2 linked regions of the Drosophila melanogaster genome follow. The protein of the gene in region 1 purifies or fractionates together with the protein of each later gene. This does not show direct contact. Each region holds a gene or a part of one and is shown in the gene's direction. Other genes may lie near its edges. The genes, in order: mrj and pirk.

Region 1 (5,048 bases):
GAGCATGTGCTTTTTCTTCTACGCTGTGCGACTGTCGCTGATCGCCTGGATTCCCAATCCCTGGTATCTGGTGGGCGTGGAGCTCTTTTTCCAGGGCATTACCTATGCTCTGTGCTATACGTGCATTGTGGCCTACGCCTCGGCGGTGGCTCCTCCGGGAACATCGGCCACCGTTCAAGGATTGATGGCCGGCATGGACGATGGACTTGGCTTCTCCATCGGATCCCTAATCGGCGGACTTATGTTCAAAAGCCTGGGCGGACGAGAGAGCTTCAAATACTTTGCCATAGCCGCCATTTGCACATGCGTAGCACACATCGTTATACGTCCCACATCCAGGAAGAGGCAATTCCTGCCGAGACAGGGATATGTGCCGCCAACGGAACAGGAGATCAAGCAGCCGCCCGCTCAGGAAATGGAGGAGATTCGTTTGGGATAAACATAGTATCAACACATGCCATTTTTATTGCATATTTTTGTACTAATTTTTTACGTTAAACAAAAACAAAGAAAGAACGACAAGTTGTCCAAAAGTTGAATGACTTTGCTCTCTCGGGGTTTTTGTTCGATTGTTGGCGCACACGCGATCTCAAGTGCTCCGGCCCCTCCAGCTGTCAACATGGTTATATAATACCTGAGCATCGCACAAAAGAACCCATTGAAAGTGAATCTGGGGCCAGGCAGATGCCTCGCTTAAATGGCGAGCGATTCCCACTCCATATATTAACGAAACTGGCCCGATCGGCCTGTTTCAATGATCGAGAATTGAAAGTCTGACACTCATCTGCATGTTTGGGATTTAAGTTAAGTTAGAGAATTGTAGTTTTAGTTCTACACCCTAAAATAACCATATATCTACTGATTTCTCAGAGCAATAGCCTTTCCGAAATAGCTCCAACAAAATAAAAGAATTGGAGATGGTTATGACTTCCAATCTTTGTCGCCTAGTGTTGATAATTTATGCTCGAGTGTGGGCCACACTTCAGAGCTGTCCAAATGAGTGCTTGTAAAAATTAGATTGGGCCAAGTTGTGCTCCGAATCTCGCAGCAAACTGGATGGCTATATAAGCCACGAGTTACCATTAGAAGCCTGCATTGTTTCTGGAAGATGTGGCCCATTTGGCTGCTGGTGCTCTTAACGCTATCACTGGCCACTGGCCGCCAGGTGGGCAGATGCAGTTTGGCCCGGCAGCTGTATCGATACGGAATGGCTTACAACGAGCTACCCGATTGGCTGTGCCTCGTGGAGGGCGAGAGCTCGTTCAACACAAAAGCCATCAATCCCTCGAACGTTGATGGATCCGTGGACTGGGGTCTCTTCCAGATCAACGATCGTTACTGGTGCAAGCCGGCGGATGGTCGTCCATCCAACGATCTGTGTCGCTTGCCCTGCCGCCTGCTGTTGAGCGACGATATCCGGTATTCCATTGCCTGTGCGAAGTACATCAGGAAACAGCAAGGATTCTCCGCCTGGGTGGCTTGGAACAATCGATGTCAGGGTGTCAAGCCCAATGTGAATCACTGCTTCCGGCGGCGACACAGAAATTCGGGTTGAGCATCGGTAAAAAGCTAAAAAAAATACGAAACTTAAGAACCTAAATGCAGAATAAAATATTATAATATTAAAGAGCAATATATTTTATGAGTATGAGCATTAAAAGAGCGAACAATTGTGGTGCGATATATCATCTGGTAAACAAGAATAGAAAAAACTGGTCTATACCTTTTTACCTTCAATTTATATTCAAAACTAACCGCCAAGCTAATAAAATTAAATATAATGTAAAATGTAAGTCAACATGTAGAAAACATGTCCAAAGGGATGTAGCTAAACACGTTATCTTACCGATGACATTTTTGAATTTCGGCTCGGAACCAGTTCGATTGGCAGAGCTAGTTGCTCCCCTCCCTGGGTCAAATCGATAGCCAGGCGACTGATAGTTGTCGCTGCGTTTTATCGCTTAAGTAAAACAGCTGTGGGAAAAGCGCGCTTGGCCAAAAGCAAAGTGGCGGTTGAATAATTTGTTTCTCGACCAACGAGCGCACGGATGCGTGCAGACTGACGGGTAATAAAGTGCAGTTAAATACTAAATTCAAAGTACTAAATACTGCTAAAGAAAACCAAAAATAGCGAAGCAGTAGATAAAAATACAAAAAGTGAAGTTGACATTGAAGTCGCTTCGTATGTGTGTGTGTGTGAGTGCTTAAAACTTGTGCTGGTGTGCGAAATTCTTTTGTGCTCCGTTTTGTTGTGCATTAAATAATCTCGATATAAGCTGAAAACCGAGTTTCAAATGCAAACGGCACGCTTCGTGTTCGAATAGTTGTTTTGTAAAAAATCAATAAAGCGCCGTAATTGTCGCCGTTCTGTAGTTGTTGTTGCTGCTGCTTGCTGCGACAGGAGTTTCCGCCAACAACTCGCGTCGTTCTCGCTCTCACCAACAGCTCTCTCTCTCTCTCTTTCCCCACGCGGCGTTGCTTATCTTATTTGCTCACACTTATTTCTTGTTTTACTATATCTCATGTTGGATTCGCATTTGTTAGATACTTCTAATGAAATTAATTGTTCGCTTGTTTTTCGGTTAGGCACCAAAGGAAAGAGATCATTTCCAGGTAAGCAACCAAAGCAAAAGAATAAGCGTAATACCAAATAATAAACAATCTAAGCACCGAGCGCAAACAGAGAAATGCGGAATTTAACAAGTTCAATAATCGAAAGTGCCTCTATTGTGCTCTCTGTTACACGCACGCACGCGGACGTATGCTAATTACAACGGTTCATTGCTCTGCTCATCGAGATTTTGACATATTGTTGCTGTCCCCCTTTGACATGTGGCGGCGTGTTTCCTCAAAAGATACTGCAGCTGCCTCTGCGATACCGTTAAACCCGTTTCTGACTCAAAATGCCAATTGTTTTTCGTTAACGCTTACTTTAATTTGCCTTTTTTGGCCAACTCGCAATTTGCCTGTCCCGCAGCTCTCTCAAATTTGTTGCAATTAAAAATTGATTTTCCGTTTGCCAAGTCAGCTTGTAAATAACAACAATAACAGCCAAAAATTGGTTACTGCAACAATGAAAAAGCAATTTTCCGTATCTACTACAAAAAAAAGAAACTAAAAAAAACGTTCAAAACTCAGTCAAGGCATTGTGCCCGTTTTATTGTTGCTGCTATTCGCTTGCCACACGTTTTGCGGCAGGCTATTGTCGTTGTTGCTGTTGCTTCCAGTACATGTTGCAATTCTGGGCATGCCTAATTTTCGGTTTAACAAAAGTTAAGTACTCTGGCTCTTTGAGCTTTTGCCCGTCGTTAACAAAACCGTTTTCCCTCCTTTTTCTTTTCTCTTATTTCTTTCTACATAAGCACAAACATCAACAATTGACAACTTGGGGCAACGAAAAGCAACGGCCATAAAAAAGTCTCGAATTATTTCGTAGCGTGTCCGATTGGCATCAATTGGTGGCGCTAGGCAATTGCAAAGAAATAAAGCACACTAGAAAAGCAAAAACAAACATAAATACATACAATTACCGAAAGCAATAGACTTGAAGACTGCTCAATATATGTGGAAAATCAATTATCAATTATTTTAAGCAGTAAAAAAAAAGTACTCTTCCCATACCGGGAATCGAACCCGGGCCTTCTGGGTGAAAGCCAGATATCCTAGCCACTAGACCATATGGGAGGCTATCTGTGTTGTAGCAAAGACTCGTTTTGTTCGCCAACATGAATGAATGCCTTGTGTTTATTTGTTTATTTTGCTTAACCCAGGAAAAACTATTAATACAAGAAAATTAAGATATGGAATGAAAACATATACAGAGGTGGTCAAAAGTATTTGAACAACGAGCTTTTTTTTTCAATTGTCAACTAATAACCATTGTCAACTAATTGAAAAAAAAAGCTCGTTGTGGAAATACTTTTGACCACCTCTGTATAATGGTCAGTCAACCCCTTTAACAAAGCCCAAAATTATTAACCCTCTGATGGTAACAAATAAAAAAAAAGCGAAATTAGGCAAAAAAGTTTCCCATACCGGGAATCGAACCCGGGCCTTCCGGGTGAGAGCCGGATATCCTAACCACTAGACAATATGGGACTTGTCTGGAAGGTGACTAAAGTGTGTCCTTAGTCTGCCTCTTAGGACATGTTTTAAAGTCACCACTGTATATTTTCTATTTATAAATTTAAAAATGAACAAGGCATAAAATTCCTTATAAAGTACGTGCACCATTTTTAACAAGGAAAAACTACAAAAACGTTTATATAACTTGGAAGAAAGTAGAACATATCCCATATGGTCTAGTGGCTAGGATATCTGGCTTTCACCCAGAAGGCCCGGGTTCGATTCCCGGTATGGGAAGTATTTTTATTTTATTTATAAGTAAATCAATTACCCTGCTTGAGAATCCCCATCAATCAAGCTCTTCCAGCCATTTCTCTCCCATAGCATCGCACAAAGGCATAAACTGGCTTGGACTTGAAAATCAGACAACAACTCCACTTATTGACCTGCACTTAGAGGCGGTGTAACACGAATCGTGGTTCAAGTGGTGTTTTAATGAGTCTCAGCTGGGTATGATCCGGCTCAACGAACTTCCTCGCTCCCTGCCAACCACTTCCATCATAAGCTGCAGCTGCAACTCAATTTTCCAAGCCCCGACACTCGATGGAAAAAAAACGGCTAATTCATCAAAAGTGTGGCAAAGCCGAGAGCCAAAAAACAGTGAGCCATTGTTGTTGCCCATCACGCCCACTTTTCGCTGGGGCTCGATCCATTTGATGCATGCTGGCAGTCGCTTGCCACTTTCCAAGTCAATTGAAAAACTCGTGTAGCTTTTTATATGCCATCATCTTGAACGAGCTTATGTATCGTATCCAGACATTAGAAGCGCGTGTGAGACATACGATTGAGCAAGAAGCGGAGAAAAAGGCAAAGCGTACAAATTGCCATTTTTTATAGTTTCTAAGTGAGTTTGTATATTTTTTCCCTCAAAGAAAGCCAAGCCCCGACAATCGATGGCAGCGCATGAGAGAAGCAACAAAAAA
Region 2 (4,503 bases), 5.4 Mb from region 1:
AAATCTTTCGACGGATCCTTCATCACAAACATTTGTCAAAGGCTTGCCGCCATTCAGTAAAATTTTCTGTAAGTGCTTCTCAAAATCAGACACAGAATACTCATTGCGTGTTTTTGTGCTTTCGAAATCTCCAGTGCTCTCAGTGCCAATAGTCAAAACATTCGAGTTGTTATTCATAATTGTTTATATTCCTACTACCGATTGGCGTTGGTGTTGTACACTAAAGTATGATTTCGTTATGGGAGCGCTTTTTATTTGCTTACTTATGAAATAAGCACCAATAAAAGCTCACGTCAATAGAGATGGGTTCTTTTTGTTTATAACAAACTGTGAATGGTTAGTAACATATGTTAGGGTGGTTCTTAAGAGTGTACTTAAAATCTAAATATATCTACTTCATTTAATTTCTTTTAAATAACGACTACATTAATTAATATAATGTCGCTTGACTCTGTTTCTATGTCCCTAAAAATTTGACTTCAAATTTTAGATGTTAAATAGATCACAAATTTTCACATTTACCTATTTGCTATTTTATATATTTACTTTACGAACTATTAGAGATGACATGATTTTGTTTATAAACGTTGTTTGTTTAAAAATCGGTGTGAATGGCAACGATTTCATTTTGGAGTGGACCTACCATTACAATACTAATTTAATCAATTAGCTGATTATACATTTCTAAATTTATACATTTTATAAACAATTTAAATAAAAAATAATTTAGATTTTTAACTGCATTGGCTATTTAAAATATTTGACATTAATAATAAATGCATTATCTTGTTATCTGACACATATGCAATATTAATGCTTTTAACACCCCATCAAAAGTATTAAAGTATCTGTCAGAACAAGTACATAACGTTCACTTATTTCGATCCAGAACATGAAACACAACAAAGCAACGCCTCGATCTTAATGAAAGATAAAACATCTGGCATCGGTGATTTTTTGGTCGGTGGGGCTTTAGTACCGGTATTAGACGCGTGCTAGATAGTGGCTGCAGGTGGTAACAGTTTTGATGGGTTATGGGTTGTGATCGAGGGGGTTTTTTCCTGGGCTCGCACAATTTCTCCATTTGTGTGCGCTGTAACTGCGCCGTGTCATATCTGATAATACACACGATTTGCCGTTATAACGCCTTCACACCGAACAAGGCTTCATACGATTATAGCTTTTCTTGAACTTTTGCTTTTGCTTGGCGAGCACACTTGAGATAGCTGCAAAAAAAGTCCCCGTTTACTGGCCCAAAACAGCGATCTGGCAAATAAATCATTTTATAATTTTCCGCAATAGATAATTGATTTGTCAACAGTGAATGCACCTTGAAAATAATAAAAAACGACCTTCTCGGCAATACACCCCTTTCATTTGTAGCCCCATAGCTGCGGTGCTTTCCCCGCACGAGTAAACATTATTGGGCCAACTGTTTAGATGCTAGCGTGTTTATTCAGCTGGCGATCTAGATACATATGTATGCTTGACTTGGCCGGGCTTTGCTCAGCTCCAGGCTTCCCAACCGACTGAGCTGGTCACTTGAACTGGCAACTCAGCTTGGAACGATCGCAGAAAATGACAAGATCGAGAATCGGAAGCTTTCGGGATATATATATAAGTAAACATATGTAAATTAAATCGAATGCCAATGAAGTCGATTGTGCAAATTACGGGTGAGATTTTTTTGTTTGTAAACAAACAGGCTCGTGAAGCATCTAGAGGAAATCATTGCCTCCGTTTCACAGATCTCACTTGGCAACTGCGTAAATATTTATCAATTTCTAGTGCTTAAAACTTTATCATCGGTTATCGTCGGTTATTACCCCTTTAGGTTGGGGTTGGTGGGTTTTTGACTCCGCGTTTACGACTCCCAAAAATGGAAATCAGCAACTATATCAGTGGACTTATTAATGATAAGAGAAGTTAACAAAAATCCCCATCAAAGTTGGGTCTGTACTGCATAAGTTGATAACAGTCTACACAGCGAAAAGTTACAATGCGTAAGTAAATAAATTCCACTTTGATGGGTCAAGACCCGAATAACACCCATTACTATTAGGGATAAGACTATAAGCACATCATTTTAGGAGAAACTATAAAACGATAAGATACAGTAATAATGTTTGAATTTACTGGTGCTGTTAACTAAATATATATTTAAACTTTATTACTATATGCTGAAGATTTGGCTAGCTCAAGTCGATGGACGAGCCCATTGCGAGGGCACCAACAGGTGGACATTACTCATGCCGAATAAATTCGGCGACCCAATCAAAGGTCTCCCCAGATGGCGAGATGCCTTTAAGTTCGCGACTCTCATGCATACGAGGTGATTTTCGTGCCGGCCCTCGGGCGAAATAAAAAAGCCCCGGCGCTAGACTCTCCGGCGGATATAAAAGCGGTTCCCGAGCGGCATTAGCGTTCAATAGCCAAAGTGCCAGCGAGCGAGCGAGCAGTAAGCACGGCGAAAGCGATACCAGAGATCGCCAAACTCAACGCACAATAAAAGTTCAGAAAACAGAGGGAGTTCCCCTGGCGGAAGCAGACGATCCCCCAGCGCTGAATTGAATACAAAAACAACACACACAATTGGATATCTTTGACCTTAGCCATCCGGATTGCTCATCATTCGGAGTCTTCCCCCAGCGACAGAGACGGAGATAGAGATAGGAAAAAGAGTTGGAGAATGAGCTAACCGACAGACTGGACGGTGATTTTTACGAGTGATTAGCAGCGGAAAGAAACGATACCGGCGGTAATTCACACCAAAATGGGCGTTCGTGTGATAGAAACCGATTCGGCGAGCGATTCGTATGACGATGACGAGTGCTCCACTTGCCAGAAAGAGCACGAGCAGGGTAAATCCCCCAATAAGAGCAAGAAAAGTTCCACGCCGCCGGAGACAACCATCTACGCCAGCAAGGATCTGGTGGGCAACTGCAAGGAGTACCGCATTGAGAACAACACGCGCGATCTCAGGATCATCGGCAATGGCAACCGCATACGGATTGTGAACAACTCCGGGCAACTGCAAGTAATCGGCAATAGCACCAGACTCAAGATCCAGAACAATAGCGGAGCCCTCAAGTACACGGGTAACGACGGAAGGATCTACCTGGGCAGCAGCTCCACGCAGCAGGTGGTCGACTACACGGGCTGCAATGGACTGCTCAAGGTGGTCAAGTCCCTGGATCTTAGCGGCGATGCCAAGAAAAGGCCCAGCTCTCGATCGAAAAACGCCAAGCCAACGCCAACGGATGCTGGCCAAGGCAAGTCCGGCGGCATTGAGATCGACAGCAATCTAACGATACGGCACGGAGCCGGGAACATTGTGATCAAGAATGCCATCAACGTGAGCATCTGAGAATCTTGAGCTCTCTAAGTCATCTTTGGCCAAAGATTAAGGATTAATGTAACGAAACTCTTGCCACCGAACGCAAAGGTTCCTATTGACTGCAAAATAGTCACTTAGTCTTAATGTGTCTTTCGACTGCTACCAATATTAACATCACCCTGCACATTCAGCAATGTCAAGTATTAAACGCCACGTCGCTAGTCTAAAAATCCATTACTATTCACAAAACACACCCACTGATTAGGGAAATATATGTATTGTATGTATATGTTTAGTCGTAACGCAGAAGCGCAGTGTGAACAAAGCCTAAACTTCATTCCGAGAATGAATAATCTGATTAAAAAATACAACTATATGTCTAAATATATATGTTTGCTGCGTTTTTCTTTGCATTTCTTGCTAAAAGAACAAAAAGTCCCCCAAAGACAACGTAACTTGCGTTTTCTTCGGAGCTTGGTAAACTACACAGATAAGTGCTTTCCTCAGCATAATGCGTACGCGACTATCTGCGGTCAAGTCGTACCATTGACAACTTCTAAGAACCACCAATTAATCACCACCATCGAGATGCTGATGCAATGGACACTGACCCATTTTCATTGTTACCGGAAAAAGCACCCGACGCTAGCCGATACAGGTACTGATTAATTAAATATATTTTGCTTTTCTATAGGTGCCGAATATCAATTCCCGGGGATTTTTTTTTTCGAGTTGACAGTTGGCATTGGTATACAAAGCAACAATTCATTACCGAAATACGAGTGCCACCTTTGCACTCACACTCACTGTTTACTCGAATGGCCGGAAAGAATTTCGAGAGATGCAAACTCAGGGTGCAATCAACCTCATTAATCTGTGGGAAACTCGAAAAGATACAGAGTGCAATTAAGATTGAGATAATTTCTTACTTTTGATTGGGATTAATTAATTAAGAAAATTGTTATCAACAACAATTTGAAGGTCGCTAATTAAAGCACACTATTCGAACGGCAAAATTATACATATTTATATAAGACAATAATAGATTTATATATAATGGTATATTTTCATTTCTTATAATTTATTTATATATAATATAAAATTCTTCAATAGAAAGGCAAGCAGGAGCACAAAGATATTTTTTTTTTAACCATCACATGTTGCAT

What was found.
Region 2: the proteins of mrj (region 1) and pirk purify together in Drosophila melanogaster (affinity purification with mass spectrometry, with the first as the bait; one large-scale study listed by BioGRID). This does not show direct contact.

Annotation. Positions count from the first base shown.
Region 1 is NT_033778.4:16,218,688-16,223,735, reverse strand, and holds the start of mrj (mrj), read left to right. Parts: upstream 1-1,942; 5' UTR 1,943-2,066; exon of another isoform or gene 2,067-2,100; intron 2,101-2,586; 5' UTR 2,587-2,613; intron 2,614-3,612; exon of another isoform or gene 3,613-3,684; intron 3,685-4,026; exon of another isoform or gene 4,027-4,098; intron 4,099-4,290; exon of another isoform or gene 4,291-4,362; intron 4,363-5,048. Other genes in the region: CG15706 (uncharacterized protein), read left to right, coding at 1-439; CG7798 (uncharacterized protein), read left to right, coding at 1,109-1,555.
Region 2 is NT_033778.4:21,660,188-21,664,690, reverse strand, and holds pirk (poor Imd response upon knock-in), read left to right. Parts: upstream 1-1,695; 5' UTR 1,696-2,003; intron 2,004-2,186; 5' UTR 2,187-2,773; coding exon 2,774-3,367; 3' UTR 3,368-3,724; downstream 3,725-4,503. Other genes in the region: CG42362 (uncharacterized protein), read right to left, coding at 1-177.